7 linked regions of the Nothobranchius furzeri genome follow. The protein of the gene in region 4 purifies or fractionates together with the protein of the main gene of each other region. This does not show direct contact. Links are inferred from orthologs where the notes say so. Each region holds a gene or a part of one and is shown on either strand. Other genes may lie near its edges.

Region 1 (4,007 bases), on a different chromosome or scaffold from region 4:
ATTCCAAACATTCAGCGTTGGCGATGGCCTGGATTTTCCAGGAGAAAGGGAGTCGAAAGAGGCATCTGACATGTCTGAAAGCTGGGTGGAGGTTTATGGCAAGTTCAAAACAGGGGAGGAGAAGGATTCTGGCATCTTTGAAGAAAAAGGGCAGAAGGAGCTCTGACATGCCTGGGAGGAGGGAGGAGGGGTTTCTGACATTTCTCAGCCGCGTCTGAAAAAAAGAGCTCTTAACTCAGGTTAATACAGTTAAAATGTCTCAGCCAGAAGAGTACCGGTGTGCATATCTTGAATCCTGTCTTTGTCAGTGAGAATATTTATGTTCTGCATCTCACTATGGCATTTTATCTAGGCAAAAGCATGTTCATACGTTTGCTTGTGTGATTACAGTAAAATGTTTTAAATTAGACAGAACGCCAAGCTGCCTTTTTAAAGGCTTCAATCATTTAAAAGTGTCACGATCTGCCCCTGCCTTCCTGACTGTGTTCCTCTCCTGCCTGATTAGCCCTTATTGTTCTCACCTGCCCCTCGTTAACCTGCCCATGTGTTCCTGATTTCCCTGTGTATTTATACCTCCCTTCTTGTGCCAGTCTGTGTCAGATCATTGTTGTTTGTCGTGTTGTTCTCGTTGTTCCTGTCATTAAACCCATTTTTACTTTATCCGTGCCTGCATTCCTGCCTCCTGGTCAGCTCCACCACACTTGGTCCATCATCTCCACCATCAGAACGTGACAAAAAGGACTATATCATGCACGCTTTGAAGCTTTCAACCATGTTATATTTGGATTTCCTCATCAAACACACACAGAACAATATTTGTCTTAAAAGAATAATGTATAAGTCAGAACAAACGACGTTTCCATTGTGCTAATGGTAATATTTTAATCATAAATGGGCCTATCCTCGTAGCCTGGTCTGCCAGACTCTTCCTCTGTTTAATTCTACACAGATAAAGGGTCTGGGAACTCTCCTATTCACATAACCCCACCCCCTGAGAATTCTAACCGAGCTAATCAGCGCTGAGCAGCATATGTCACACACCATAACGCCGAGTTTGTCATAAACATGGCGACTGAAGCGGAGTTCGCAGCGGCTCTTTCCTCTGTTCTAAATGACTTGGACACATATTTAAAACAACAAGTAGAAGCGCTAAAAGTCTTTCTTCTAAAGAAAGATGTTTGCGCTGTCACCAGATGCCATTTTTTGACTACAGCTAAAAAACAACAGCGTCGCGGCCGTCACACACAGCGATGCTCAGTTTCTCATAAACAACGAAGACAGCGGCGGAGTTCGCTGCGGCTCTTTCCTCTGCTCTAAATGACTTGAATGTCTTTAAAACCACAACAAGTAGAAGCTTTAAAAGCATTTCTTCTAAAAGAATAAAAGATGTTTGCACCATTGCCAGACGCCTTTTTTTTACTACAGCTAAAAAAACTACAGTGTCGCGCGGTACTGTCGGCATTTCCGTCTTTTTTTCTGATTGGTTATTTTTGAGCTGCCTAGTCCCGCCCCTCAAGTGCCTCTTTTCCTGTGAATTACCAGACTCATTCTCTGTGCAGAATTAAATAGAGGACAAGTCTCTGGCAGGCCAGGCTACTATTTTCCCTCTGAAAGGTTTAAACTGTCTAACATGATGGAGTTCCTTTAAACCTCAAATCTGGCAATAATTAAAAGGGATTGAAGGACATTTTGTTTCATTTTAATATGTATGTAGCTTGTCAGGACTTTATTTTCGAATTAGCATAATCATAATTATATTTTTAATTAATTAATTAATTATCGTAATCATAATCATAATCATTATTTTAATTTTTTATTTTATTTTAAGTATTCGTTATTTAACCAGAAAAATAAAATAACTTCCTGTCCAAGAGGCAGAAAAAGGTACAGTTACAAAATTACTCAGTTACACTGTAAAAGTTATATTCAAAATTATTGGAACTGTAGACACACACACAGACACACACACACATAAAAGCGTGTAGTAGTCAGGGACCAACAGACAAAAAACAGACCAGTTGGGCTTCCGTCTTGGAGGAAAGATATGTTTATAATAACAACAACAAAAACAACTATTATTATTATTATTATTTAAAGATGAAAAATGCTTATTTTCTTAGAAAATGAAAGTAGTATTCACAAAATGCAAAAGAAAGAAAAATTTCACTTTGGCTGAAGACAAAGAGGCTGAGGTTGCAATCTTTAAAGTCCAAAGGAGAGGATGCTTACTGTGTGTCTTTATTTTACGCAGATCCAACCTCAAAATAACCAAACCAACAACACCAAGGAACACATTAAATTAGTTTTTTAAAGAAAAAAATAACTAAATGTTTGCAGTTTTATGTCATGTTTCTTTTGAATCACAACAGTTCCACTGCATCTTATTTGCATGTTTAGAGTGTAACGGACCAGTTGTGTTTCTTTTCCTCCATTCTCTCCCTCTCTGCTCTCATTCATCTATAGATGAGTTCAAGTCTTTCCTGAAGAGGCTCCCTTCCACTCATTTCCTGCCCATCAGCAGTGTGCATCTTCTGTGGGGCAGTGACTGGGACCTGCAGGCCCGTTACAGACTCCTCCAGAGCTCCCTCGAGATCCAGCGGCTCAAGATCCAGCATACCACCCGCAAGCTCTTTAGCCTCAGCATCCGCTGTCACCACAATCCCAGCCACCAGATGCCTCGGGAGAGGTGGGTAGAAATATGACCTTGATGTGGATTCGCTCAGCGATGTGAACCAGAGATTTAGAGTTCATGCTTATTGAGATGTGAATATAATACAGAGTATGTTCAGGAAATAAAAACTTATAGAATTATTTGTGTTTTCTCTTGTTATGAATAGGTCATGTATAATAAATCTGTAGCTTATGGCTGTATTTTTACTTTACATCAAGTCAGCTTAGTGCTGAGGCTTGCACATGCCCAAAACACCATAGCTCACTCTTGTACTTCACTTAGGAGACTGAAAAGAAAATGTTGCTGTGGGAGTTTTCTTGTTAGGTCATTGCACACATCTGTCACCACCTACCACAGCTGCAGCTTGAGAGCCTTGCCGCTGATGTGCCATAGTGTCAGCAGTACAGCAAATGCCAAGAATGTCTCCAAACCACTTCAGCAAATCAGAAAACACCATGCCAGATAGGGCAAATCACCGGCTGCCCGTGAGAAGCGCCTCTCTAACTACTCAATGTAGGTGGCGTCTTTGTGTAAATGGGAACAGCATCAGTTAAATATTAACTGGAGTGGTCTGAAAATGAGCCATTGTCAACTGTCCCTGACAGAAAACGGAGCACACCCACATTTGTCTGAGCGAGTTGGCACGGGTTCGTTCTGAAGTGTTATCAAAGAGCTGCAGAATGCGCTTCCTCTTCCATGGAGTAAACATCAAGAGTGCCTGATGGCAGAGGAAATAAGAGCAGCGTGTTTATTTGTTTGCTGGTGTGAAACAGCTTTGCATCAGATGGAGGACTTATTTGTTTTCATCACATATTTTAGGAAGGTCTTACATTTAATACGGAGCTGTTGTTGTGCGGGGCGTCGTTTCCCTGGTCTCTCCACCTCCTTTAGTCCTTTCCGTTGTTCCTTTCGGATCAAATTTATTTCTGCTTTTCTAGCTTTACTCAGAGTAATAACTGGTACAAAATGTGTGGGGAAGATTTACTTCAATGGCTCATGTGTGAATCCAGCATTGGAATTCAGTCTGATATGACATTAAACACCCCCCCCCAACAGGGAGCTGAAAGCACATATAGTATTTCCATGATGTGAGACAATTGTTTACAGAGGCTTCTTCCTTTAAGAACATCCTTAGTGAGGTAGAAAATGTAATGTTCTTTTAGAAAATCTCTGCAAATTTTGAAAACCAACTTTACTGGAATTTGACTCATTCAAAAAAGTTCAGGATGGATTTTAGCTTTGCTAATTTTTTCACCTGTTACTCGTCAGTCTTCACTCCGCTGCAACCATTTCTCATAGCTAACTGTCATATCCTCAGCTCCTGTTGTTATATATA
Region 2 (4,804 bases), on a different chromosome or scaffold from region 4:
TCACACTGAGAATCTCAGCCAACGCTGTAAATAATAATAAAAATAAATGTTGGATTTATTTCCTAAAACTATCAGAAAACTCAAGTAGGACAAGAATTTATGTTATAATTCTATTCACAAACCATCTCTATGGATATTTATGGCTTTGGTGCATCAACAGTGACAAAATGTTGTCCTTTATCAACGTAAAAAATGTTTGTTTAACCTACTTGAAGTACTTTTGATTTATTTGTGCAAGAGAATTCAGAACTTTAGCATTCTTTTTGTTGCAAACCTTAAAATAAGTAACATTTTAAACCCTGAAGCGCTCTTTACAGATGTCAAACTAGGTTTTAAACCAATAACAGCTTAAACTAGGGGTAGACCGATATACAAGGCAAATATTTGGCGTTCTTTATAAATCGGCAGAAGCATTGCGGTTTTGAGAAGTCAAGTGGTCAAACATGATGCGCCGCTGAGCACTTCTCGGAAAGTCGTGCGATAGTCACATCAGGCCGAACTTGAGAACAGGAAGCAGAAAATGACTTTCGTTTTTACGAGATCAGACTTGCCGTCGTGTTTTGAGAGACACTAGTTATTAAAAATGGGTAAGTACGCTATTTATTAGAATATTTTAATATAGTATTTCAAATTAATCACTGCTTTAAAAATGATTTCCAACTCAAAATTATTTTTATTTACCAGTTTTGAATATCAAATAATTGACACGTCACTTAACGGATTTGTTTGATTACCTTTTATTTAAATGTCTGATATTAACACTGAGCTGTGTTCAAAATTAGGATTTAACAGTTGGTTAAAAAACTGATTCAGAAATTTTGTGCATCAACTGATGTTATCTGACGTTTTAGCATGAAAATAAGGTGAAAATATTTAGATATCGGACATAAAAATATCGGCTGCACAAATCGGACATCAGCTGACCTTTTACATATCGGCAATCAAACCAATATCGGTCGACCTCTAGTTTAAACTACAGGTTTAATTACACTGTAGTTTATCAGAGCCCTTCCATGCATTTCTATGCAGCTATAACAGTGATGGGAATAACGCCGTTTAAAATAACGGCGTTCTTTTTTTGGGTAACGGAATAATCTAATTAATTACTTTTCCCACTGTTGCAACACCGTTACCGTTACTGGGGATGGAAGGTTGTGCGTTACTATGTGCTTGTCGAACGTTGAGCAACAGTGTGAGGCTTTCTGACCGCCACACTTCAGCTGCAGCCAGGGAGAGAGAGGTGTCAGTAACGCACTTACAAACCCGATGATGATTGGCCGGGTGGGCGGAGACCCTCACTGTCTCAGTCACTGCATGCTGTAGACTCAACAGAGCAGTGATGGGAATAACGCCGGTTAAAATAACCGCGTTACTAAAAAAAATATTTCTTTCAGTAACGAGCAACCTAATTAATTACCATCTTCTTTTATCAAAATGTCGTTTCTGTTACGTATAAGAAATGTGTGCGTTAAGCAGCGCAGTGTGTTGAAGCTGTCATCAGCTGATCAGGAGCTAAAGAGGCAGATGTTTTCATCCAAGTGCATCACGGCCCGTGAAGAACGAGGAAGACGTGATGAATAGTCTACGGCTGCAGGTGTGGGTCTGCAGCCGTGCCCTTTAACGTGACAGCGGGACGTCCTGAAGGTCCGCTCACCTGTTCACCACTCAGACGTCCTGATCTTCTACCTTCCTAGATCATCCAGCTGTAGCCTGTTTCTGATCATGTCTTTAGTCCCGCTGTAACACTGATGCATCAGTCTCAAACGTCATGGAGCTCAGGTGTTATTAGAACCACCCAGCTTCAGCTCTTCTGTGTTTGGGTCTGACCCACGTTAGTAAATGTAAGTCCTCCATCAGATTTGTGCCTCTTCTACTGTCATTTTAAAGGATTTTTATTTATTTATTTAACCATTACTAGATTACCAGCAACAGAAATGCTACTAATAACACACAATTATGTGAAGTTGGAAAAGTTAAAATACTGTAATTTACATTCATTTCTGTCATTTAACTAGACTGAGAGACCATTTAAAGGCTCGGGAACCTTTACAGGTGTTTCTATTTGCAATTTTAAATTTTAGCTGATTGGGGTCTTGTTAAATATCACACAGTGACGTTTTAATAGTTTAGATAAGTGTAATGCTCCTGTTCCTCCTGTTAAGTGCTTATTTATTTAAATTATTCAGGTTTACAAAAAACATTTTGACATACGTTTTATTATGTTCCAGTCACTAGTCATTTATATTTCACTATTGTAGTAATTAATAGTAAATAAGTTCAATTAACCCATTTTCTTGCATTCTTTAATGAAAAAAGTAAATAAGTAGTTATTTTTCTTGGTAATTAGTTACTTTTATAATCTCGTAACTCAGTTAGTAAGTGAGTTACTTTTTTGACAAAGTAATTAGTAACTATTACTAATTACTTTTTAAAAGTAACTTTCCCCAACACTGGATATAACAGTGTTTAGTGTGTTGAACTTGGTATTTTAATTTTAAATCTTAATTATTTCATTTGTATTATTAGTGTCTTCATTTTGTCTTACGATTTGAAGTTGGTTTTTATTCCTGCGCGAGAAATGAACGTTCATATTCTAAATCAATAAAGATTAACATGAATGTTTGTTGACATTTAATAAAGATATTTGATTACGCTTCTGCAGACAGGATTCAACAGTTAAGCCTCAAAAATAAAGAGTGGCTTCAAAAGCGTTCTACATTAGCACACCTTCTCAATCTTAGTAACACTTTAGTTTTTTTGTCTACCTGGAAGACGAGGTGTCTGCTAACAGCCAGCTGAGCTTCGATAGTTAGCATTAGCTTAGCACCAGGGAAACAAACGGACAACACTTACGCCATTCGTCCTCGTGTTCTTGGTTTTTACGAAGAACCGGTAGGCGACAGCCTTCGACAATTTCGACCTGTTGTTGATGAAACGTTATTTTACAACCAAATAATGGTCAATGTCTAAAAAGTAGCATAGTTTCTCTGGAGAACCTACCGAAGACGAGCTGTCCACCATTTTCGTCATCTGTGAGTGCAGCAGCAGGGTGTTGTGGGAAAATGCCGGTCCACGCCAAAGATGAAAACATACGTCAAGATAGTTGTTTGTGCCCTGTCACCGGAAGTTAGTGAGCTATCTTAAATGAGGCAAACAACGCAAACAGAATGGCTTCACTACTTGAGTTATTAATAGTAATAACACATTATGTTTTAAACAGGAAGAGAATTTATGTATTTGAATTTCACAAAGAATGTATACACCACTCAAATAATTACAATAAAAACTATATACAACTAAACCAGTAACAAAATAGAAATGCTGTTCTATTTGACTTTTTTATCTATGTGAACTTTAAAAAAAATTTATTTAGTCGTTTGATTTAATTGATGAAAACCAACTCAGTCTATAAGGCATTTATATGTTTTATTTAGGTCAGTTTCACGGAACACGAGAACTCGATCCTGTCTAGAGTAAAGATTTTTCCGCCCTCTGGCGGACCCAAGCCATTACAACAACATTTGGATTGCGTGATCAAATTAGTTAATTTGTAAATTAAAGTGACATGGTAAGTCAACTTCCTGTGTGTGTGTGTGTGTGTGTGTGTGTGTGTGTGTGTGTGTGTGTGTGTGTGTGTGTGTGTGTGTGTGTGTGTGTGTGTGTGTGTGTGTGAAGTTAAAAAGGTTTGTACTGCATTATGAAGCAAGTGTATTTTTGCACCAATCTGCCACACGAGAGCAGCAGTCTTCCATTGTTGGGAGCAAAAATGCTGCAGTTAATCACATTATTATAGAGGTGAGATTATTAGTTTTTCCTGTAATTGCTGAGAGCTTTGCCGACTCATAATGTGTTTTGTTTTCTTTTAGGAAAGAGGGAATTTTACAAAGTAACATGCTTATGGAGCAAAATGGATTTTACTATATCACAAGTTTACATCCATATTGTTTCCTGCTGTAAAAAAAAGTATGACAAACCATTCAAACTAAACTTAAATTTTGATCAGATTTTAATCAGTTTCTAAACATGTGCAATAGAAAATCTTCCTAATTTAATAGTACATCACTGAAATGTTGGAGAACACAACCCCCATGTTTACCCTCCTTAATGAGCTGTTAAGAAGCATCTGATTAAATTCATGTGTCCAGTAAAATGTTAAAATTAACAATAAAATTGCACCTGAAGTTGTCATCTCGTTAGATCTCTGGTAGATTTAGACGCTGGTGCCTCATTAATGTCAAATTTAAAATAATTAGACACAGCACTGCTGAAGGCAGCTTGTCTTTCTATTTTAAAAGAAGATTTATTCATAAATTATAATTTATTCTGCTCCTCCACTCCAGGGTACAGCTTTGGATGCGTAAATAATGATGTCACAAACACAATGAGGGTTTTTATATTTAAAAAAAATTATTGTTCCAGAGATGATATTTTTCTTGGCTGAATGTTTTTCTTTAAAAATCCAATCAACACTTTGTGCACAATTTAAAAAGTGCCTAAATTAGATAAATATGAAAGTTCAAGGAAGCAGCTCTCAATCACAGTTTTTTACTTTAGCAGCTTAACAAACACTTCCATTAAGACTTCAACTGAAAAACAAACATTAGAGGATGTGATGGCAGTGTCTGTCACCTCAGGTGCATGGACTTCTGGTAATGTTTATTTGTTTTCTTTGTTCTGTCTAGGATGACAATCAGTCTTCTGATGTTTATGAATGCATGTGTTGATTTTGTATTTTATTTGAGTTACCAGTGACTTGGAGTTGCCCATGGAGTCTCGTACACCTGCAGCTCATCTCCCCAGGAAG
Region 3 (4,007 bases), on a different chromosome or scaffold from region 4:
GATAAATTCATTTAAGGAACAAAAACTGTGAGGAGCCAGTTCTGATGAAAGAGCCAGAGTTCCCATCACTATTACCCTCATTTAAAACACTACCTTTATTCTGGTGTGAACTTCGTAGATTTCTGGAATGCTGCCAAAAATGGTTTTCATTTCCTCCTGAGCCAAGATGGGTCCTCCTACTTGGCCTTCTTTCTCCAGTGGATGCTTGAAAAGCTGGAAATAAAATGCACCGTGACTTCTGAAGTAATCCACTGATGAAACGGACATTTATCGTCACCATCAGCTTCATTTTTTTTTATAAAGACTTGAAACGTAAAACCCTAACCCAGTTTCAACAGATTTTTCTTCACTTCAGTAAAAGTATAGAGATAAAAATTCAAGAGAAGACACAAAAAACAAAGAAATTTGACAGGAAGGTCAAAAAATAACCAGCCTGGTTGCTTCGCCGCTGGACTGTCTGACTCCAGCTGACGGCTGAGTCAAGTTACAGCAAATACACACACTCACACACACACATGCACACTCACACTCACTCACACACACACATGCACACTCACACACACTCACAAACACACATGCACACTCACACACACATGCACTCACACACACACATGCACACTCACACATGTACACTCACTCACACACACACATGCACACTCACACACACTCACAAACACACATGCACACTCACACACACTCACAAACACACATGCACACTCACACACACTCACAAACACACATGCACACTCACAAACACACATGCACACTCACACACACATGCACTCACTCACACACACACGCACACACACATGCACACTCACACACACATGCACTCACACACACACATGCACACTCACACATGCACACTCACTCACACACACACGCACACACATACACACACTCACAAACACACATGCACTCATGCACACTCACAAACACACACGCATGCACACACACACACTCATGCACACTCACAAACACACACGCACGCACACACACATATACACACTCATGCACACTCACAAACACACACGCATACACACACACACACACACGCATGCACACACACACACACACCTTTAGTTGATCGCTGGCTAACTGAAAACTGTTGTCAGGGGCAACACGCTGAGGTGTTAGAGCAGTGCATGCAGTGAGCGCATGCACACCCACGCCTACCTGTAGAATGGTGTTTAAAATGTCTACATAGTTGCTTTCAGTCTGGTAGAGCTCCTTGGAGACCTGCCACCTGGCCGACTGCTTGGACAGAGCCGGAGTTGAGCTCTTGGATGGCTTGGAACTCTCTGAAGGAAGACAAAGTTTGTAGATGAAGTAAAGGAGAGCAGCGGGATGTCGGGTCAACCTATCACGTGTTTTATTCAAGATGCAACACAAACATTACTCTGTTAAAGATGATGCCGAGGAAGAAAAAAAAACGCACACCTTGTTTTAAATGCATTTACATGAAGCCGTCAGTGTTTCCACTGGATCACACTGAAGTTTCACAGATTTATACCAACCCATATCCACCTTTGAAACTGGCCAGCCAATGGAGATTTAGCTTTAATGTTCCAGTTTCAGCAATTCTTTATTACCCTCGCATCATCATTTGTCCTTGTTTTTACAAACATGACAAGTACTCTGGTTTCAAAGGAGGAAGCCCACTAAGATAAAACAAAAGTCAGATCTTGGCTATTCAATGTTCTCAAAACATACGACTAACGAGTTATAGACCCTTTTACTACCTACGTCATCAAAAGTTGCGCGCGCAGCCTGGCAACGAGAGTGAAGGCTTCCTCATTCACACTCGATACTAAAACAGTGTTTTAAACCCTTTGTTTTGAAGTTCTGAGCACATAAAAATGTCGGGTTGTTGCGTGTATGGATGCCAGAATCGCTTCTCTTCAAGCAGTGGACTGAAACTTTACAGAATTCCGAAGGGAGCACATCCATTTCAACAAAATCGGAGGCGTCTGTGGCTGCAGGCCATCAAAAGGGTTGATGAAAACTCGACTGAAAACACGATCCGAAATGCTCGAGTTTGTAGCGCCCATTTTATATCAGGTAAGGTAATTATGTACTAAGATTACACCAGAAAGCTGGTTAACGTGTGTTCTATTAATTAAAGTAAGTTCCGTTTGCTGGTTTGCAAATGAAATTAACATTTCATTCTAATTCATCTGTATTTTCCCACTGCATATTAGTATAAACTGTATTTCTCTAAAAATTAACACGATTGTACTCTGAGCACACTAAAAAAAGAAACCTATGCTATACTCACCCTGCCATGCAGGTACACAGTTCTCTGGTTTGTTTACTCTGACCCAAGCCTCGTATATAGCAGTCTTGTGTCCTTGTCTTTGGCTAGGAAGGACTTCTGCCTTCAAGACGCAAAACTCAGAGTCTATGTCGTGATATTTTACTTTCTGTATGTGGCCACAGACAACATATTTGTATGCATCTAACGATTTGTATGCCTGTAGCTTCTCACATGTGTACTTACTGGGCCTCTCCACTAGAAACGTATGTATATCGGGCCACGCACCTACGTCTTCCACCCATTCCGTAATGCCACAGGGATCCGGGAGTCTGTTGCCATTCGTTAAAGTGAGTTTAATAATATAACATTCAAGATTTGCCGGTGATAACCCCGCAGCGTAGCTTGATAAAGCCTGACACAACGCCATTCTCTGTTGCCGAGCTGCGCGCGCATTCTCGCTGACGTCATATTGTTTACAAACAGTAAAAGGGTCTACGATAGCTTCCACTGTTATTCTTAGTCTTTTATCATTCTTCAAATCCAACACCTGAGAAACATGTCTGCTGTGTTGCTTCTAGCATTACAAGTTCATCCTTCTAGAAGCGGACTCTCCCTTTAATTCCGCCTTTTTCTGGTCGGCTTTAATCTTATTGGTTCATCTTACTTTCAGGGTAACTGGCAACATTTTGAACGATACAACGGTATACATGTTTGTATGACGAGTGGCAAGAGTAGGGCAACCCAAAATCTAAGCTAAAGAGAATGAGGAATGCTGCACTCTGTTAGCAACAGAACACTGAACCTGGAATGCATGAAGGACTTTATAATTAAATCTACTAAGAGTAAGCCGGTTTTGTTTCCTGGGTAGGTTAGATTGTGAGCTAAACTTGGTTTAACGAGTTTATCCAACCTTGGGAAACCTTGTTGTTGCCATTTCCTGACATAGTAGGCTTGAAAATCCTACTTCTGAATTCAGAGGTAACAGCAATGTGTGATTTATAATGCTAAAGGGATCTCTACATGTAGGAAATGACATTACATTTGTGACAAGACACGCTAGTGTGGGTACTATTACTGAAAGGTGACATTAAACTTTAGTCATGTAGAGACGACTGTTTAGTGAAGCATCGACAGGTGTAGGAGTTAAAGAGCAAGTCACCCCCAAATCAACTATTTTTTTCTGATAAACTATATAAATGCGTGTCTAATCGTGCTGCAGACACGTGTAGTCAATAGTTTAGCACTTTAGTGCATTTTAGCTAAAATTAAAAATTTCTGCCTAAAACTGGCAGTGTTGTGCCGTTGTCAGGTAAAAACTCTTCACTGCATTTGAATTTAAATCTGCCACCGCTATTGGCTAAGGGGTATGCTATGATGTAAACTGGTACATTATGATGTCACAATGTCATGAGTGTGTGTATTTGTTAGTGGCTCCACCCTCTCGGTCTGCTAGGCAACAGCATTTGTTGCATTATTCAAACATGAAGTGGGAGTGAAGTACGCTTCTTGTAAGGGGTGACTTGCTCTTTAAATGTTTGTTTACGATGAGTGCGTTTACATGCAGCCAGTAACCCTTTTAAAACCCGAATATTCACAATAACCCGGTTCCGCAGGTCCATGTAAACACCGCCAAAAACCCGGATATGCTCATAACCGGGTTTTTAAAAACCCGGTTACTACACCTGGGGTAACCCTTTTCTAACCCGAATGTTTGGTCGTGTAAACGCATATCGGGATATCCCCATCAAAG
Region 4 (3,295 bases):
GGTTCATTTCGATGTTAGACAAGCAAGAGAAGCTGCTACGCAATTACACACAAAACATCGACACGTTGGAGCAAGTGGCTGGAGTTCAGAGGATCATCCAGTGTCACGGTGAGTTTTAGTTTGCATTTTGTTGTACATCTACGCCGCTGCCATAGCGCTAAATAATCATGTGTGTGTGTGTGTGTGTTTTATTTCAGGGTCCTTCGCAACTGCGTCCTGTCTTGTTTGTAAACAAAAAGTGGATTGTGAAGCTATAAGGGAAGATGTCTTTAATCAGGTACATTTTAAACTGGACCAACAGAACGTTGATCGCTGCTGCTGTTTTTTTACACCTGTAACCATAATGAGAAACTAAAATGTCTTTGGAGGGGTTCGGGTTGGTGAGGACGTTGGTTGATAAATGTCAAGTCATAACGTATACATGTAACTAATTTCACAGTATACTCTCCTAACCCCGGCTTTCCACGGGAGCCGTCAGCAGCACGTCATAGCTGCTGATAGGAACCGCTGTGGTCAACAGAACCTTTTCCACCGGAGCCGTCAGCAGCGCGAGTCGGCCGCGTCTCAGGAGCAGCATGTCGCGGCCCTTACGCGCCGGTTCTATTTTCTACGCGCGACGCCTCTGAAACGGGTCAAGTTCGACATTTTTGGGGAAGGAAAGACAGGAAATGGGACGCGGAAATGGAGAGAAGCTCCCGAGATTCTCAGAATAAAGAACGTACTGCCTTCCAGTTGCTTTACTTTTAAAAAATGTTACTAACTGTGCGTCCCCGTGAGAAGTTATCACCTAGCTAGCGGTCTCCTTTGTTTTTCAGGTCCGTATTGGCGATTATAAAAGGACAGAACATAAACCATGTTATAGTTTTCTCCTGCTTGTTGGTGTGTTTACTGACGAAGTCACTCGTGTGACTTCGTGCTCTGTCGGTGACAGCTGCTCCCCTGCTGCTTCGCGTCTCGTGGGAAGGGCCAAGCAGCAGCTTGCGCGAGCGAGACGTGCTGCTGCAGTAACGTGCTGCTGACGGCTCCCGTGGAAACCCGGGGTTAGCGTTGTTTCCATTGTCGGGTTTGGCTTTTCCAAGCTTTGTTGTTAGAATATTTTGAAATCTTCAGACTGGTTTTATGTGATGTTCAAAGAAACTTTGGATAAATTAACTTTCACAACATCCGCCTAACGAGTCCGTGCGAAAGACTGATGTAAAAAGGGTGTTTGGTGTTGGGACTAATTCAGGGTTCATACTAGAATCTACTTCAGGAAGTGTATCGGTTTAAATAAATGACAGAGCGTGCTTCTGCGACATGTTCCTCTCTAATGCAACGTCGTCCTGCAGGTTGTTCCTCGTTGTCTGAGGTGTCCGGATATTCCTCTGGCAATCATGAAACCTGACATCGTCTTTTTTGGAGAGAACCTACCAGAAATGTTCCACAGAGCCATGAAGCAGGACAAAGATGAGGTGGACCTCTTGATTGTAATTGGCTCTTCGCTCAAAGTCCGACCAGTGGCCCTCATACCGAGTATGATTTCAAGTGAACGTGCTTCTAGATACTTGCCACTCCTCTGTTGTGTTTGAGGTAAACTCCACCAATAACACCATGGCTTTCCATTTCTCTCAGATTCCATTCCTCACGAAGTGCCTCAGGTTCTGATCAACAGGGAGCCGCTGCCTCATCTGAACTTTGACGTGGAGCTACTCGGAGACTGTGACGGTATCATCAATGAGCTCTGTCACCGGTTGAGTGGAGACTTTGAGCAGCTCTGCTTTAACACTTTAAGACTCAACGAGATCACAGAGAAGCCCCCTCGGTTACAAGAACCACGACCAAGTGAGGCCTTGCCTGCTTTCAGTGATGCGGCTCAGCAGCAGAACGAGCCGTCGCGTACGGACTCTGTAAACAAGCCTTCAGAGGAGGCAGAAAGTCTGACTGTTACAGAAACTGCCGATAAGAACATTACACCTTTGGAGCCTTGTTCGAATGTGCAGTGTCCAAGTGAGGACGGTGCGAAGTCTCCGGAGTTACCAAAAGTGGAGATGGGTGATTTTAAAAGCCAAAACTCCAGCTTTGATTATCGTAAACGGTACTGGGTGAGCAGAATCAGCAGGAGTCCAATAAGCAAACGCCTCAACCGTAAGCTAAGCTAAGCTAATTTATACCAGTTACATGTCATTTGTTCAAATGTGTTCCGTCTTTCCTCTGCATGTATTCCTTCACGTGATCACACCACAACTATTTCAGCAGACGTGTCAAAGACAAACGAGCCGTGTTTCATAGATGCTCTGTTGTTTTCCACAGCGGGCCAGTACTTGTTTCAGTCACCTAACCGCTACCTCTTCCACGGCGCCGAAGTCTACTCGGACTCCGAAGAGGAGACGTCGAGCTCCTGCGGTAGCGACAGTGATGAGTCAGAATGCAGTCCTGGTGGGGTGGAGGATGACAGCGACCCAGAGGACGTCAGTGAAGCGGCGGCGGCGGACGGAGAAACACGCATCAAAGACATGTTTCGAAATTCAGCCAATGAGGAAGAGTCAAGTGTGCAGATCGACAGTTCTTCTGAAAAAGCTCACAGTGCCACGAATCAAGCGTAATAAGACTCCATTTTACAAAGCACTAATTCTTTTTTAGAGTGTACATATAAATAGGTTTCATATATATTTTTGAGTCATCTACTTCCTGTTTATCATAAAGTTGAAGTGTGTGTTTGCAGCAAGACTTTTGTCTTTCAGGTTTGCTCTGTTTTCACACTCACTGTGCTTAAACCCACTAGTTACTTTTCTACTTTAGTTCCCTTTGCTGTTGCAGCCATTGTTGCGTACCAGAAATGCAACATTAAACACCCTGAAACACCGGCGTGGCGTCGGCTGTTTTGGACTTGGTCGCTTAGGAATCATTACATTTTAAAATCTGAAGATTGAAGAGGTTAACGAGTCTGAGACAGATTTTATTTTTGCGCATGCAAATTTAGTTCTACTCCTTGAGTGAAAAACTGCAGAAAGATGGTTTTATTTCAGACCAAAGAGCTCAACATCTGCATACTTCTGTTTCTGGAAAAAGCTTTTTTTTTTATTCGTCTTAAGTTTTTAAATGTACTTTGTGATCCTCCTGACATCAGGCAGCTACTTTCCTGGTGAAGCCTCATATTTTATATTTGGGTGTGAGACATGCTTGTCAAAGGGTATATGCTTGTTTATATTTGTACAAAGTCGTACTTGAGACGAATATGGAGACCGGCTTTGGTTATGTTTATTTGTAAGGTTGAAATACATATTCACGTTGAAAATAGCACTTTTTCTTCTCCATA
Region 5 (4,438 bases), on a different chromosome or scaffold from region 4:
CAGCCGCCACTGATAGTTGTTAAAAGTTGTTAAACCTGTGCATTTGAAACAAGAAACGCTTTTTGTTTATCGATTTATTGTGAAAAACGGAAAGTGTGCTTGCTCCTTTTCCTGTTGGACGATTGTGATTTCTGTCCATTTACTGCGGAGGTGCTCCGGCGTCCGGCGAAAATAGGATCGATTCTATTTTTGCCGGACGCCAGAACAGAGGGCGGCGCACGGCGCCGCACTGCAGGAGCACAGCCGCAGTAGTGGAATTGCTCTGATTGACTACAACGGGACCGATTTTGCTGCGGCGTTCGTGTCGGAGCGGAGGTAGTGGAATTTGGGGGTAACGGTGGCACCAGAAGCAACAAGAAGAGCCACCTGAATCCCCACAGAGAAGCTCACCTGAAACTTGTGATCTTGTGCTGCGGCAGATCATCGTAGCTTTCAAACCCATCCTCGTTTGCGTCAAACAGGGACAAACGCTCATCCGTCAACATTTCAGGCTCTTCCAGCTGAAGATACAGAAAAAACCGGTCAAGACGACGACTTCTCAGTGCTTAAATTACTAAGAAAGCAAGACTGACCGCATTATCAGGATCTCCTTGGAAGAATTTCAGATCGGAGTCATCCAGGTATTGTCTGCAGTCTGGACATTTGGGGGGCGGAGTCTAAAAAAAAACAACCGGGCTTTGTATCAAAGCCTATTGACGGATCACCTTTGTCTGCGTAAACGTTTGAATGAACCACTTCACTACCTTAGCTGCTGACGCAGACCTGTTAACTTCAGGCTTTGGTTCCTCAGCAGCAGGTCTGCGTAAAAAAGGAAGAGTTGTAAAACGTAGATCCACTTCAGGACCATCGAAACTCAAGAGATGACCTACTTTTCATCCGACTCCACTTTCAGGCGTTTCTCCTCCCGAGACTGCAACAGGCGATCAAATGTAAAACGTTATCTCCGGGACTAAACCTACACCGATATTAGCACACGAGGAGGAAATGTCACCTCATCAACGGCCTCTTCTTTTTTAGGTTCACTTGTTTCATTGACAGGTTCTCCGTTCACCTCATCAGACTTGCGCTTTTGGCTGCAAAACAGAGCTGGTCTTAATTTTATTCCTGCTTATTTGTTAAAACTGCAAACAGCATAAAACTCATACGTACACTTTAGAAAACATGGACAAGATGGTTGGCTGCTTCACACTGTTCCTCGTGACTCTGCTGCTGGCTGGTGATTCTACAAATGCAAAAGGACTCGCCATGAGCTACAGATGCTGCGCCTTTAAAAACGAGACTCGGGATGAACACTAAACGAGTCGCAGACTGACTTTTTGTGTCTGCGCTCCCCTTGCTCCTGCGGCCCCCCTTCCCTTTGGAGGTGGTTGGTGACTTGACAGATGATGACGTGTCTTCTTCCTGGGTATCCATGGAAACATCACCATCTCCATCCTCTTCGTCTTTATGGGAGCCATTAGAGAGGCCATTTCTCTTTTCGTTACGCTCCACGCCATCAACATGTGAGCCATTCTCAAGATGAAGTTCTTTGCCCAGCAAGGCTTTCACCTTTGAGATGTAAACCTCCTGAGGAAAGTACAACAGATACACAACATGTCATAAATGGATTTATTGGAAATAACATGAACATTAATAATCTGTGTCTTTTGGAAGTTACCCACCTTTGAGATCTCTGATTTTTTTATTTTTTCTTCAAGACTGGTCAGTTGGTCCTGAGCATCATCATGCAGAAAGTCCTGCACCAACTTGATCTTCTTCTTCACTTGTTCCTGAAACGAATATTTCCAACATAAAACTTACAGCCAATGTATTTAACTATAAAATTATAAGTTACAATTTTTTGAAACTATCTGCATTCATGACATTAAAAATTAACCATTTAGGACATGTCGGTGAATTAAAATGTGAGACAGTAACTTTCTTAATCTTCTTTGTCAATGGCAAAATTTCCTAGGGATTCGTTTTTGTCATATTTGAAATGAGAATTTTATGCGTGCCAAATGACATTTTGGGGAGTGATGAACATTTTTGGAAGCTCTGCTATTTATATTTGCTATCAAACACATTTCATATCTCACAACTAAAATAAAACCAACGAGAGATGCATTCTTTAAGAGCCACTATATAAAGTGTAGTTATTGATCTTTACACATACAAAGCAACTTTCATTTCCCGTAATTATTGATCGGGTTTTCTAGTAGTGAGGGTGCACACTTCACTCGCCTCTTCTGAGCATCCATCCTCATCCAGCAGCTCCAACCTACAAACACATCAAAACAACAGCGGCTTACGGAGAGTCACGTTGTCTGGAAACTGTAGCAGAACGTTCAGCACAGCAACCAGAGTTAGGAAACAAAACTTCCTACGTGGCGCCAAAAACTCCCTCGCTGCTCATCCATTTCCAGGCTAATGATGCTAGTAGCAGGTTACTGACGATGGACTATTAACCAGACTGATAAGAGGCAGCAAGCTAACGCTAGCTGAAGCGGCTAATGCAAACAAAGTTGTGGGGATGCTCACTACGAGCATGAGAAACAACGAGTAGCATTTAAGACATACGCTCTGAACGCCGTTGTTGTGACTTACTAACTGGCTGCATTATGACTGTATTAGCACCGAGGTTACCAACCTTTTCCTGACATCGTCTGGCAGAGACAGGGACGTTCTGGATGGCATGTTGACCAGCTAACTAAAAGCAGAAGCAGATGACACGGGCAATAAAAACTGATATAAAACAACGCGTTAGGCCGCCGTCAATCGCCGCAGCAATACTCAGAGATGACTACCAGTCGAGTGGCGCTTCTTCAAGCGGATGCTACAAGCAGTTCGAGCGCGCGCAGGCCGTCTTTTCGCGCGGAAACCCGGGTGTTGTGGACTGTACCACTACGGCAGTCTATAGGTAAAGCAGTTTCCGTTCTGCGTTTGTAATTTCTTCTTTGCATTCATGGTTTTACACAAAAACACATTTTATAACAATAAAACGATTTTTAAGCATGTTTAGGGCATTAGTTTGATATTATTCAAAATGTTTACGTTTTTTGGTTCTTGATAAATCAACCGGATCTTCCCCTATTGTTTCACACATGTTAGAGTCCATTGACCAGGCGGAAGTGTTTAATAATGAGCAAAAACAGCAAGACATATTATTGCCGCTGAGTTTAAGCTGCAGGAGGCATGACACCGTTTTGATGTAACTAGCTGTATCCGACATCTGTTTGAAACCAATAAGCCTCTAACTGTAATTTATATATTAGATTGTTACTAGGATAGCTGTCAAACATGTATGTGTCCAGGGCGTGTCATGTGATATCATAGGATGTCAAAGAAGATGGCTCCTTTCTCGCCTCTGATTAGCAAGAAGGGCTCTACTACGATTGGCTATTTCCATCGACATATAAATATTGGACATTGGGTTTCCATATGCTCCAATAACACGTTTTTGAAGATAAATGGGAGGTGGCCACCACCACCATTTTGACTGTGTCACAGGTTCCGTCAAGCCCAGACAATTCCACAAAAGGGAAGAGAGGTGGCGCTGAGGGTGGGGCTGTAAGGCTGGGATCTACTGACGACACCCGGTCTAACTAGCTACAAGTTAACCCAAAGCTAACGCGGAGGTGGGAGCTAAGCTAACAGAGGTAGCAACCTAGCTACAACCGGAGTTAACTGTGCACAACACCAGAGCTTCTGAGTCAGAGATACGCCGGGCTGACCGCTGGGTAAAACCGGGTGGAACACAGAGGTCTCCCGAGAGCTCCACAAGCCGGCAGCCGCACAGCAGACAAGCGCTGCTGCGATCTGAGATGCACAGAGCTGCCACTGGGGAGAACCGGGTGGAAAGGTTTCCATCCCAGAGCTCCACAAGCCGGCAGCCCGCATAGCAGTCAGGAGCCGCGATCAGACAGAGATGCGCCGAGCTGCGGGGAGGGGAGAACCGGGTGGAAAACAGGTCTCCCGAGAGCTCCACAAGCCGATAGTCGGAACCCAGCTCCACCAACATGTTATATTTCAACCCATTTTCTAAAGTCCAGCATTATGTTAAATGCACTGGGGTTTACCCTATTACATTTAAATTTCATGGTTAAACAGTACATGTTAAAATCTAAGCTCAGCTCGGCAGTGACCTAAAATACATGAATATAATTTTACTTACCGAAAAAAATGAAGTGGAGACTCCTTGGATGCTCTATTAGTGCAATTAATGCCACAGCAAGTCATTTTGTCCAACAATTGCACAAAAAATATCCGAAAAAAAATACACAAACACAGAGACTCAAAATCCCGGAGCAGTTTCCAAGCCAGACCGAGGCTCTACTGAGGCCTTTCCACGGAGCTAGCTCTGTGGTCACGTGGGTCTGATGCTCATTAATTATACAGAATTTTAGGCTTTTAATACACTTAAACAGAAGAGTGAGAAAAAAAAATCCCCCCCCCCCCA
Region 6 (4,007 bases), on a different chromosome or scaffold from region 4:
GACATGAAACGGCACATTGTTAAAACCACAGAACAACACAGGTGGGGCAAACATCTGCTGTTTACTGCATGGACATCGTCTGACTAATAAGTGGGTGATGATCACAAAAAATGTTTACATTTGTGCACTCAGTTAAAAATGTCTAACAGCTCTAATATGTGTAGGCTAGGATTTTATTTTGAAAATGTTAAAGGGGGATGAATTCTATTTATGATGCACTTGTCTTCTTTATTTTGAAACTTACACAGCCAAAACTTTTTAAATAACACTTAAAAAAGATGTTTACACCCTGTTAGATAATTTATGCTTGTCTTCCCCCTACAGGCCATAAAACCACCCTGCAGCCTGTTACAAACCATGACTCATCATTTTCCAGCCCCACATCACCACTGGTCTCTGTCAGCAGCAGATGCAGTACTTTAATCTAAAATGACAAAAACAGATGCTGAATGTTTTTTATTTTATACAAGACAATAACAATTTCTTTTTACAGTCGACGTGTTTCAGTTCACACGGCTCTTTTTCAGCCTGGAGGTGTCGGATGATGCTTTGCGTTTACATGACGGAGTAGATGATGCTTCTTCAGAGGGAGGTGCACTCAGGAGGTACAGCTCAAGAGGTGGAGTCGGCTCCTTAAAGGGGAAACAATAAAAACAAATAAAACAAGTTTCTTTACATTTATGTAAAAGTGATTAAGAAATTTAAATCCCATGAATTGTAACAATAACTAAGCTTTTGCCTGGGAAGTAAGCTTCAAAATGTGGTTATTCTGACCTTCCCTTGTTCTGAATTAAATAAATACACTTTAGACATAATTTGTGCTCAGATAATCTCAACTACTGATGCTAATCTCAAAATGTTTTCTATAGTTGCTGAGCAGTCAGCACATTTGCTCACATTTGGTTGATTTACTGTTTATTAATTAAGAAACTAGAATATTTCTGGAGAAATTCTGACCTAACCCCAAGTAAAAATATTAATGTTGCTGCCACTGATTCATTAGGGTAACCATGGAAACCACACTCCTGTGGCGTTTGCTCCCAAGTGGACAATTTAACAAGAGGCAGACAGGAACAAAAAAGTAACCCCCGCTTTCCACTGGATACGTAAGCGGTGCGTAACGTAACAGACGCATTTCAATTCAATTCAAAGATACTTTATTAATCCCAGAGGGAAATTAGAGTGAGCTCCATCCCCATGGAGGGGAGCGTTTAAGACCTGAAACAGTAGCAAAAGCGTTCAGCTCAGCTGGTCCCACGAGGTCACGAATCCAACAGAGAATTGCAACGCAACACACGATTTTGTGGTAAAGTTAAAAGTTAAAGCCCCATTAGTTGTCTCTGCATTGACCCATCTATGTGGGGAGCGGTGAGCTGCAGACACGGCCATGCTCGGGAACTATCCCCCAATCCAACCCTTGATGCCGAGTGTCATATGGGAAGGTATAAGTCTTTGGTATGCAGACTCGTACCAAAGACAGGGTCAGGGCAGACTCTCGTACCACTAGGCCACTGAGCTGCCTTTGCACTAGGGCTGCACGATATTAGGAAAACCTGCCATATGCGATAACAGTGATTAATATTGCGATGGCGATATTACTTGCGATAAATAAAAACTTAACTCAGGAACAAAAATAATCAAAAACAAAGAAATAAAAAAAAAGACAAAAAATTCATAAAAATGAGAAAAGCAAAAGATGTGAGGAAAAGAAAATAACAAGAAAAGGCGATCAGTGGATCCCGGGAAAAGCAGAATCAGCAGGAAGAGCAGAACAAAGCTAACTCAGGAGTTTGCTAACCATCAAAATTAAGTGCCGTCCGCCTCGGGGGCGGGCATCTAACCTATGAGAACCCACCCAATTGGCCCAATGGGTGAAGAGCTCCATTTGATTTGTTAAAAAAACATCATGCTTTCGTTTGATTGACATAATTTATTATGTGTAGCAAATATGTGAGCTGACCATTCATTGCAATACTCATCTGTTCTTTGCAATATGCATATTGCGCATGCTGATATCGCGATAACGATATATTTGCAGTATATTGTGCAGCCTTACTTTGCACGGAGACTGCATCGCGTATCGAAGATCTGTTGTTTATTTTCTGTTGGCTCCGTTTACCTCAGCTACGGAGGTTTCACAGGAAACTGGAAAGCTGCATGTGACTTTGCTTCATTTTTACTTGTCCTAATGTTTTGCAAGGCTTTCATGTTCGACTTCCTGTCCGGTCTGAACTGCGTAGCTTGGCGGCTTTTCTGGATGCTTAATGCGTAAAGTTAGGGCAGCAGTAGCTCAGGTGGTACAGCGGGTTGCCTCATGATCATAGGTCATGGGTCTGATTCCAGCTCCCGCCAGGGGTATTCTGCTGTTGTGTCCTTGGGCAAGACACTTCACCCAACTTGCCTGTGTTGGTGGTGGTCAGAGGGGCCGACGGCGCCAAATGGCAGCCTCGCCTCTGTCAGACCTCCCCAGGGCGGCTGTGGCTACACTAGCAGTGTGTGAATGTGAGTGTATGAAAGCGTGTGTATTATTATTATTATTATTAAAAAGTAGACAGCACCCATCTATTTAAATGGCAGCTAATTACATTACGCAATGCTTACATATCTGGCCAAGTCAGCCTCAAGCGATCTCCGCAGGAAAACGTAACGTTGAATTGGAATAATTCCTGAACTTCCAAGGCGCTGATGGTCACGTCTATTTTTTGTTTTCTGTAGGAGACGTGATGCATTGAATCAACCCTTCACCTTTTGTTTAGAAAGAAATTTTGAGTTACAATATGAACAAAGTCCGTGGAAATAAGGGTGTGTGCTCTCTGAAGGGATGTGAGAGAAAACCATAGATCCTGCAGCGATGAGACAAACACCTACATGTTGATGTATAATTTGTACGTGTACTAAAACCACAGCAAGAATTAGAAGTTTCTTTGCAAAAACTTGTAACAGTAACTACACGTGACCCGAACTGGGGAGCGGAGCGGACCTGCATCAGGTAATCTGCGATGTACTCTGGTTTCAAGCATGTCACCCCTTGAGCCGTCGCCTCTGCTACGTCCACCCTGAAATCTGCAGGTTTCAGACGACTGAAGTCTGCAAACAGGTGAGTGGCCTCTTTGTATAGAGATGAGGAGGGACTTGGCAGCACCTGCAGAGAAACTCCACGTCAAAAAACTGAGCCCAGAGGTCCGGAAACATAAAGAAACAGAGGTTCCCAGTTCAGGATGTTCATATTAATGATTTTCTTTACTGTAAAAATGTAATTAGTTGTTTTGTGGCTTATTACTTAAACATTTTTAATACTGCTGAAAGAATAAGAGTGTTATTAAATCAGTGCTGCCTCCAATAAGCAGCATCTTCTGTGTCTGGGATGTAAACGCCATGACCGACCTTGGCCCCGCCTGACTGCAGTAACCTCCTGAATCCGGACTCTCTACTCTGGTCGATGTTCAGCATCACGCTCCAGCCGCTGAAAGCTCCCTGGAAAACACATTTTTCTCCAGGTGAGACACCGTGTCTAGCACCGCGAGGACACAGCGAACCGGTCTGGATGTACCTTCTGTTCAGAGCTTCCCTGCAGAGCTTTTCTCCAGCGCATGGCCGACGAGGCCAGCCTCCTTTGCTGAGAGGTGATGGAGGGTAAAGCCTCCAGGATGGAGCTGCTGCCCCATTCATACTCCTCCTCCTGCCCCACAGCAGGAGACCAAAGGAGAGTGAGTGCTGTGCTTAGCATAAGTTTTACTGGTGAAGGACTGAGGCGGACTCTCACCTGGACAAAGTGTCCCAGGGAGCGACAGACTTCCAGGTAGGAACGATGCAGGATCCATTTACCGGCAGCCATCGCTGCAAGATACTTCTCGTTGCGCAGCGGAGTCCCTACGATGATGTGGGAGCAGCTGGGGTCGAAGGACTGCTTGTCCAGGACAACACCACCTAAAGTAGGACAAAGAACAGAGAGACTAAGACACACTGGACCTGGTCAGGAGACACGAACTAGACCAAGCTAAAATAAA
Region 7 (4,799 bases), on a different chromosome or scaffold from region 4:
CTGGCAACCTCCTCCAGGGTTGGTAGTTCAAATGATTCTTCTTCTTCTTCTTCGGATTTATCCTCCAAAACAGGAAGTTGTGGAGCTAAAAACAAAACAAGAGGACTGAGATCAAACAACATAGGTCTTGTTACTGATCTTGTGCACACGCTGTTATCCATCCAACATGAACAATTATCTCATAAATCAGCTGGTTTTCTAGTAATGTCGGTGTTGCACCAAGACCGTTTGCTGTAAATAAAACCGGTAAGTCTGTGGGAGTGCTGCTGATGCGGCGTCACCTCGTCCCCGGCACTCGACGGCCCAGTGCCCGGTTCCTCCACACCTGTAGCAGGTGTCGCCCTGCCGACTGAGCCCCCCTCTGAAGGAGCCCCTCCGTCCTCCACCAAAACGGCCCCCGCCTCCACCGAAACGCTCGCCCTTCAACTGGAATTTCTGCACGTACAACTGTGAGAAGAGCACACCAGTCAAAGGTAACGCTCTTGAACGTTTGGGCGAGTCTGGTGGAACCGCACCTGTTTGCGTAAAGCCATCCCTCGGAGAGCGTATCCTTTCACGTGAGATTTCTTCTTCAGATTGATCTTCACAAAATTACCTTCTGCGCCTTTCCTTATTCTGTGGAAACCGCAACAATAAGATAATAGAACAAAGCCAAAGTAGGTGTGTTTATTTGGGGCCGCCCGTGTTCCTACCTGGCCTTCACCGGCTGTGCTTGACACGACCCGGAAGTCCTGAACTCGTCCTCTAACTCTCCAAACAAGTTCTCCTGAGGAACCTGATCAGATATCACAGATTTTATTTAATGAAAATTATTTATTAACGTACAAAAATGCTGATTTTTTCCCTCACCTTTGGTTTTATCTCCGTCTCCTCCGCTCCATCTTCATGTTTTTTCTTGGTTCGCCTTCTTTTCTCTCCTCCTCCATCACCTGATTTAGAGTTTTCTTCTTCTTTCTTACGTCTCTTTTTCACTCCTCCATCTTCAGGTGTGTTTTCTCCAGTGTCGCCACCCTCTCTCTGCCTCTTTCTTCCCCTTTTCTTTGTACTTTTAGGACTATTCTCACCGTCATTTCCTGGTGTAACGAACACCTCTTCACTTTCTTTCTCTCTTTTTTCTTCTCCTTCCCATCTTCCATTCACATTCTTAAGATTTTTCTCCTTTCTGAAATCTACTGATCCCTTTCTTTCACCCTCCACGTATTTTTCCTCTTTTGTCACGCTTTCACCTTCTGATTCTGGTACTTTTCTTTCATTTGTCTCCGCTTTAGTATCCTGGTTGCCTCCTCCAGGTTTCTCCTCAGCTTCCATCTCTCCGAACACCTGACACCTTTCCAGCCACTTCCTGTCAACGAAGCTCAGCCTGTTAGGAAGGGAAGGCCGTCTCACCAAACCACCAACCAAAGGTCGGCTACATTCGACACCAACCGAGTCCGGTGGAGCTTCTCCGTCTTTTGCACTTTCATTTAACGTTCCAGTGGCTTCGGCGCGCCGCTGAGGAGACAAAGATGATAAGAGGAGAGAAGATCTGGCTGGAGAGGAGCTGTGGTTTGTATCATCAGCAGGTTTAGCTTTAAATGGTTCTAACTGCTCCTCAGGCTCTGCTGAATCCGGAGCTTCACGAGACGTTGAATCCAGACATGGCTTCATTCCTCTGGAACAAAAACACACAAAACTCATTAAATAACCAAGTTTCTGAAAAATACTTAAAAATTTTCCGTTCTTGGTTCTCGTTTGATCCATAAATATGAAACAAAACCAGAGGATTTAGATCCAAAGTGTGGTATGAGGGCCACTTGAGGCCCTCATAGTGTTTTTGTGTGGCCCCTAGCAGGCTGACGATGTAGCCAGATGATTTCTAGGCCTGTTGTTGAGCTGTGTAAATACAAAATTCATTATAAAAATAACTTTAGAGTTAAAAATATATATATTAAAAATACTTGACAATTTCTGCCCTTCTCTTGAAGGGTTTGGACACCCTAATCTAGATTATACATCACAACAAAACACGTTTAAGTTATATTACAGCATTTTAATCAAAAGGACACATTTATCAGTCAACTAGGTTGATATTATGTGCGTAACATGACAGCTTGTGTCTTTAATTACCTTGGAGAGAAGAGGCTGAGGTCTCGATCAGCTGTTTCAGGTTTTCCTGCATCAGTGGAGGACCTGGGACTGTTCTCCTGTAAGCTCTGGTCATCTTTCAAAGAATTTAGAGGAACTCGACCGGTCCGGTGTACTTTCTTCAATGACAAAGGTCTCTCCTTTAGTCAAAAAATAAATAAATAAGTGCACTGGAAACACATGATGGATAATCCTGTTTGTTTAAAGGTTGAGATGACAGATTTCTTCTGTTTTATAGCAATAATTGAGCTCAGATCAGTTTTTTTAAGTGATCCTTACCTTACTGAGTGCAGCAAGGTTGTTTTTAAGCTTTAGTCCATAATACTGAGGGGACGCCATAAGACTATCTTTGTCCTGGGAAGTCAGCCTGGGAGCAGACACCGGCATTGCTTTGCGGTTCAGATGGGCACCCCAACAATCAGACTCCTAAAACAGAAAATATGCTAATTATTTAGAATTAGTAAATAACAGAAGGTGATTTGTGAAGAATAGAGTGTTAAGAAATAGAATAAATAAATTACAGTAAACAAAGAAGTTGTGATCAGAACCTTGGGTGTTGTGTTGCTCTCTGGAGTCTGACTGCTGGATGCATCCCTGCTGCTGCTGTTCTCTTTGGCTTGTTTTAAACTGCGGTACTCCTTATATAGCTCTACAAAAACACGCGTATTATTAGTGCGGTAAGACATGTAACAGCTGATCAGTGCTGATTATAGTTAGGACTGACTTTTTGTCTGTTCTGGAGCTTGATCAATGTCCTCCTGCAAACGAGAAACCTTCATTTAGCTTTTCTGAAAAGGTAAATAATCCAGCAATAAGCAAACGGGACATCTAGAAATCACCTTGTTGGGCTTCCTCTGGTGCAGTTTGACAAAACTTTGCTCCCAGTTTTTCAGCAGAAGTTTCACCTCATTGTAGCGATCCATGTTGATCCATTCAGTCGGTTTAAGGATCCGGACTCCACTTCTTTTTGTCAAGCTAACGGCTAAAAACAGGTTTCTTTTTGGAAATAAGCGCAGTCTGACTGTGTGTTTTACATCGTAATGCGCTTAGTTAGCGTTTAATACCTCTAAAAAATGTATTTTACACTTAGAAAGGCGAAGAACATCATGTTTTTAAAACCTTTATGACGCTTTGAATCAACCCGGAAATGCTAAATGTTGATTTTCGCGCGTCCGTGTGTTGCCAGTTTTCATCACCGCATCCCCCAATCTGTATATCACTTGCGTAGAAGTTAAATGTTTTCAATTCAACTGTGTATATTACTATGTATATCTGTACCTGAATTTTTTTCAAGATATACTTTGTGTTTAGTAAATTCAAGAATGATAATAAAATATATAGATATGTAAAAATCACTATAAAATTTAAAATTTTCGCTGTATGAAAATCTCAAAAGAGAAACGCTCTTCCAGGTAAAAATTAAAGGGACAGAAATAGTTTTCAAACTAATCACATAATAAAACATAAATTATTTGACATAAGCGTGTAATAAACTATAAAACAAAACTAAAAATATATACGTTTTTGTTGAATTTTAAAGAGATGCAACTTTGCAACAGAAATTTAAGGTACTTTCTTGGCTGTTTCTGGCATCAGCCCACTCTTGAATCAGTTCTTTTGCAGTAATGTGTTTCAACCTTTAATGTGCATCTTCTGGTTTTAATTACCTTTAATGGAGACATATCATGGATTTATTTTTTAAGTTTTATGTGTTATAAAAAACATATTTATGAAATCTTTGCTCAAAATCTCTCTCACATTAAGCAATGTCAGCAGTTTTATTCTTGACATTTTCAACATCTTCCACAATGAGCCATTTCAAGGCTCTGTCGCTTAGGCCCTAGGCCTTTTTTTTTTGGGCCCTGGTGCCTCCCAATTGGGGGCCTTTGGAGTTTCGTGTCCCAAGTGTCAGTGATTGTTTCCATTCCCCGAGCACAGCTACAGCTACAATCAAAACGGTTTAGATTGTGAAAAAAAGCTATTTTTGGTTTTTGATACATTACGATAAAATAATACTTGAACTTTATTTTAGAAGAGCTGCCCTGCGTGAAAGTGCTGACAGGATGGAGGTTGAGAGTTCAAATTCCATTTAGGAAATTTAGTCAATTGTTTTATTTATTCCAGGGGTCCTCAACTAAATTTGTTTAAGGGTTTTTTTCCAGCAGGCACCAGAGAAGGTCAGATGCTCTTCTAAAATAAAGTTCAAATATCATTGTATCTTAATTTATTACTATTTAAAATGGCCTTGTTTCCCATCTGAGCCGTTTGTGGTTTTAGTTGTGTTTGGACAATGTGGACAGTTGTAGATGTTTGGGAAATTAAACTGTAGAGGCCCCCCAATTGGGGGGTGTTAGCTGGTTAAGAAAACAAGCTGAAGCTGGCTACGCCCAGCCACTCCCTGCTCAGGCTGCTGTAAGCCGAGAAGCTCCGATATCTTGGAAGGGCTCAGAGTATAGCCGCTGTGAATCAACAGCTGTCTCCCAACACACAACATTTTTGAACTTGTCCATGCATTGTTTTCTGAGCCGTTTGTCATTTCTTATCGTTTCAAATAAACATCACAGAAGAGAATAACACTTTACAGATAAAAATCTGTGAGATACTATGAGAAGATCAAAGAGGGATTTCATCAGCAAACATCTTCAGACATGAATAAAAACAGAACAACTGAGTGT

What was found.
Region 1: the proteins of sirt1 (region 4) and brinp1 purify together in Homo sapiens (affinity purification with western blotting; 6 studies listed by BioGRID and IntAct, with this or other methods). This does not show direct contact. The link is inferred for Nothobranchius furzeri from reciprocal best matches to the Homo sapiens genes SIRT1 and BRINP1.
Region 2: the proteins of sirt1 (region 4) and histone acetyltransferase KAT5 purify together in Homo sapiens (affinity purification with western blotting; 3 studies listed by BioGRID). This does not show direct contact. The link is inferred for Nothobranchius furzeri from reciprocal best matches to the Homo sapiens genes SIRT1 and KAT5.
Region 3: the proteins of sirt1 (region 4) and ect2 purify together in Homo sapiens (affinity purification with mass spectrometry; 3 studies listed by BioGRID). This does not show direct contact. The link is inferred for Nothobranchius furzeri from reciprocal best matches to the Homo sapiens genes SIRT1 and ECT2.
Region 5: the proteins of sirt1 (region 4) and dnmt1 purify together in Homo sapiens (affinity purification with western blotting; 3 studies listed by BioGRID and IntAct, with this or other methods). This does not show direct contact. The link is inferred for Nothobranchius furzeri from reciprocal best matches to the Homo sapiens genes SIRT1 and DNMT1.
Region 6: the proteins of sirt1 (region 4) and topbp1 purify together in Homo sapiens (affinity purification with western blotting; 3 studies listed by BioGRID, with this or other methods). This does not show direct contact. The link is inferred for Nothobranchius furzeri from reciprocal best matches to the Homo sapiens genes SIRT1 and TOPBP1.
Region 7: the proteins of sirt1 (region 4) and recql4 purify together in Homo sapiens (affinity purification with mass spectrometry; 3 studies listed by BioGRID). This does not show direct contact. The link is inferred for Nothobranchius furzeri from reciprocal best matches to the Homo sapiens genes SIRT1 and RECQL4.

The regions. Positions count from the first base shown.
Region 1 is NC_091746.1:56,499,264-56,503,270, reverse strand, and holds part of brinp1 (BMP/retinoic acid-inducible neural-specific protein 1), read left to right. Parts: intron 1-2,463; coding exon 2,464-2,686; intron 2,687-4,007. UniProt on the Homo sapiens protein: Plays a role in neurogenesis and brain development. May suppress cell cycle progression in postmitotic neurons by inhibiting G1/S transition.
Region 2 is NC_091750.1:47,314,478-47,319,281, forward strand, and holds the start of histone acetyltransferase KAT5, read right to left. Parts: upstream 3,100-4,804; 5' UTR 3,031-3,099; coding exon 3,001-3,030; intron 2,921-3,000; coding exon 2,854-2,920; intron 25-2,853; coding exon 1-24. UniProt on the Homo sapiens protein: Catalytic subunit of the NuA4 histone acetyltransferase complex, a multiprotein complex involved in transcriptional activation of select genes principally by acetylation of nucleosomal histones H2A and H4.
Region 3 is NC_091756.1:57,533,530-57,537,536, forward strand, and holds part of ect2 (protein ECT2), read right to left. Parts: intron 1,302-4,007; coding exon 1,177-1,301; intron 214-1,176; coding exon 94-213; intron 1-93. UniProt on the Homo sapiens protein: Guanine nucleotide exchange factor (GEF) that catalyzes the exchange of GDP for GTP. Promotes guanine nucleotide exchange on the Rho family members of small GTPases, like RHOA, RHOC, RAC1 and CDC42.
Region 4 is NC_091752.1:5,646,168-5,649,462, reverse strand, and holds the end of sirt1 (NAD-dependent protein deacetylase sirtuin-1), read left to right. Parts: coding exon 1-108; intron 109-197; coding exon 198-277; intron 278-1,328; coding exon 1,329-1,512; intron 1,513-1,611; coding exon 1,612-2,124; intron 2,125-2,289; coding exon 2,290-2,582; 3' UTR 2,583-2,591; downstream 2,592-3,295. UniProt on the Homo sapiens protein: NAD-dependent protein deacetylase that links transcriptional regulation directly to intracellular energetics and participates in the coordination of several separated cellular functions such as cell cycle, response to DNA damage, metabolism, apoptosis and autophagy.
Region 5 is NC_091745.1:3,328,735-3,333,172, forward strand, and holds the start of dnmt1 (DNA (cytosine-5)-methyltransferase 1), read right to left. Parts: upstream 2,855-4,438; 5' UTR 2,677-2,854; coding exon 2,630-2,676; intron 2,261-2,629; coding exon 2,224-2,260; intron 1,770-2,223; coding exon 1,662-1,769; intron 1,567-1,661; coding exon 1,314-1,566; intron 1,223-1,313; coding exon 1,150-1,222; intron 1,074-1,149; coding exon 992-1,073; intron 911-991; coding exon 870-910; intron 799-869; coding exon 744-798; intron 657-743; coding exon 573-656; intron 501-572; coding exon 391-500; intron 1-390. UniProt on the Homo sapiens protein: Methylates CpG residues. Preferentially methylates hemimethylated DNA. Associates with DNA replication sites in S phase maintaining the methylation pattern in the newly synthesized strand, that is essential for epigenetic inheritance.
Region 6 is NC_091747.1:45,084,652-45,088,658, reverse strand, and holds the end of topbp1 (DNA topoisomerase 2-binding protein 1), read right to left. Parts: intron 3,928-4,007; coding exon 3,764-3,927; intron 3,680-3,763; coding exon 3,551-3,679; intron 3,475-3,550; coding exon 3,385-3,474; intron 3,143-3,384; coding exon 2,981-3,142; intron 633-2,980; coding exon 504-632; 3' UTR 442-503; downstream 1-441. UniProt on the Homo sapiens protein: Scaffold protein that acts as a key protein-protein adapter in DNA replication and DNA repair. Composed of multiple BRCT domains, which specifically recognize and bind phosphorylated proteins, bringing proteins together into functional combinations.
Region 7 is NC_091759.1:4,679,017-4,683,815, reverse strand, and holds the start of recql4 (ATP-dependent DNA helicase Q4), read right to left. Parts: upstream 3,253-4,799; 5' UTR 3,048-3,252; coding exon 2,964-3,047; intron 2,883-2,963; coding exon 2,849-2,882; intron 2,774-2,848; coding exon 2,673-2,773; intron 2,551-2,672; coding exon 2,404-2,550; intron 2,265-2,403; coding exon 2,107-2,264; intron 1,652-2,106; coding exon 850-1,651; intron 776-849; coding exon 693-775; intron 616-692; coding exon 516-615; intron 448-515; coding exon 282-447; intron 86-281; coding exon 1-85. UniProt on the Homo sapiens protein: An ATP-dependent DNA helicase which unwinds dsDNA with a 3'-overhang in a 3'-5' direction. Does not unwind more than 18 bp of dsDNA. May modulate chromosome segregation. The N-terminal domain (residues 1-54) binds DNA Y-shaped DNA better than ss- or dsDNA.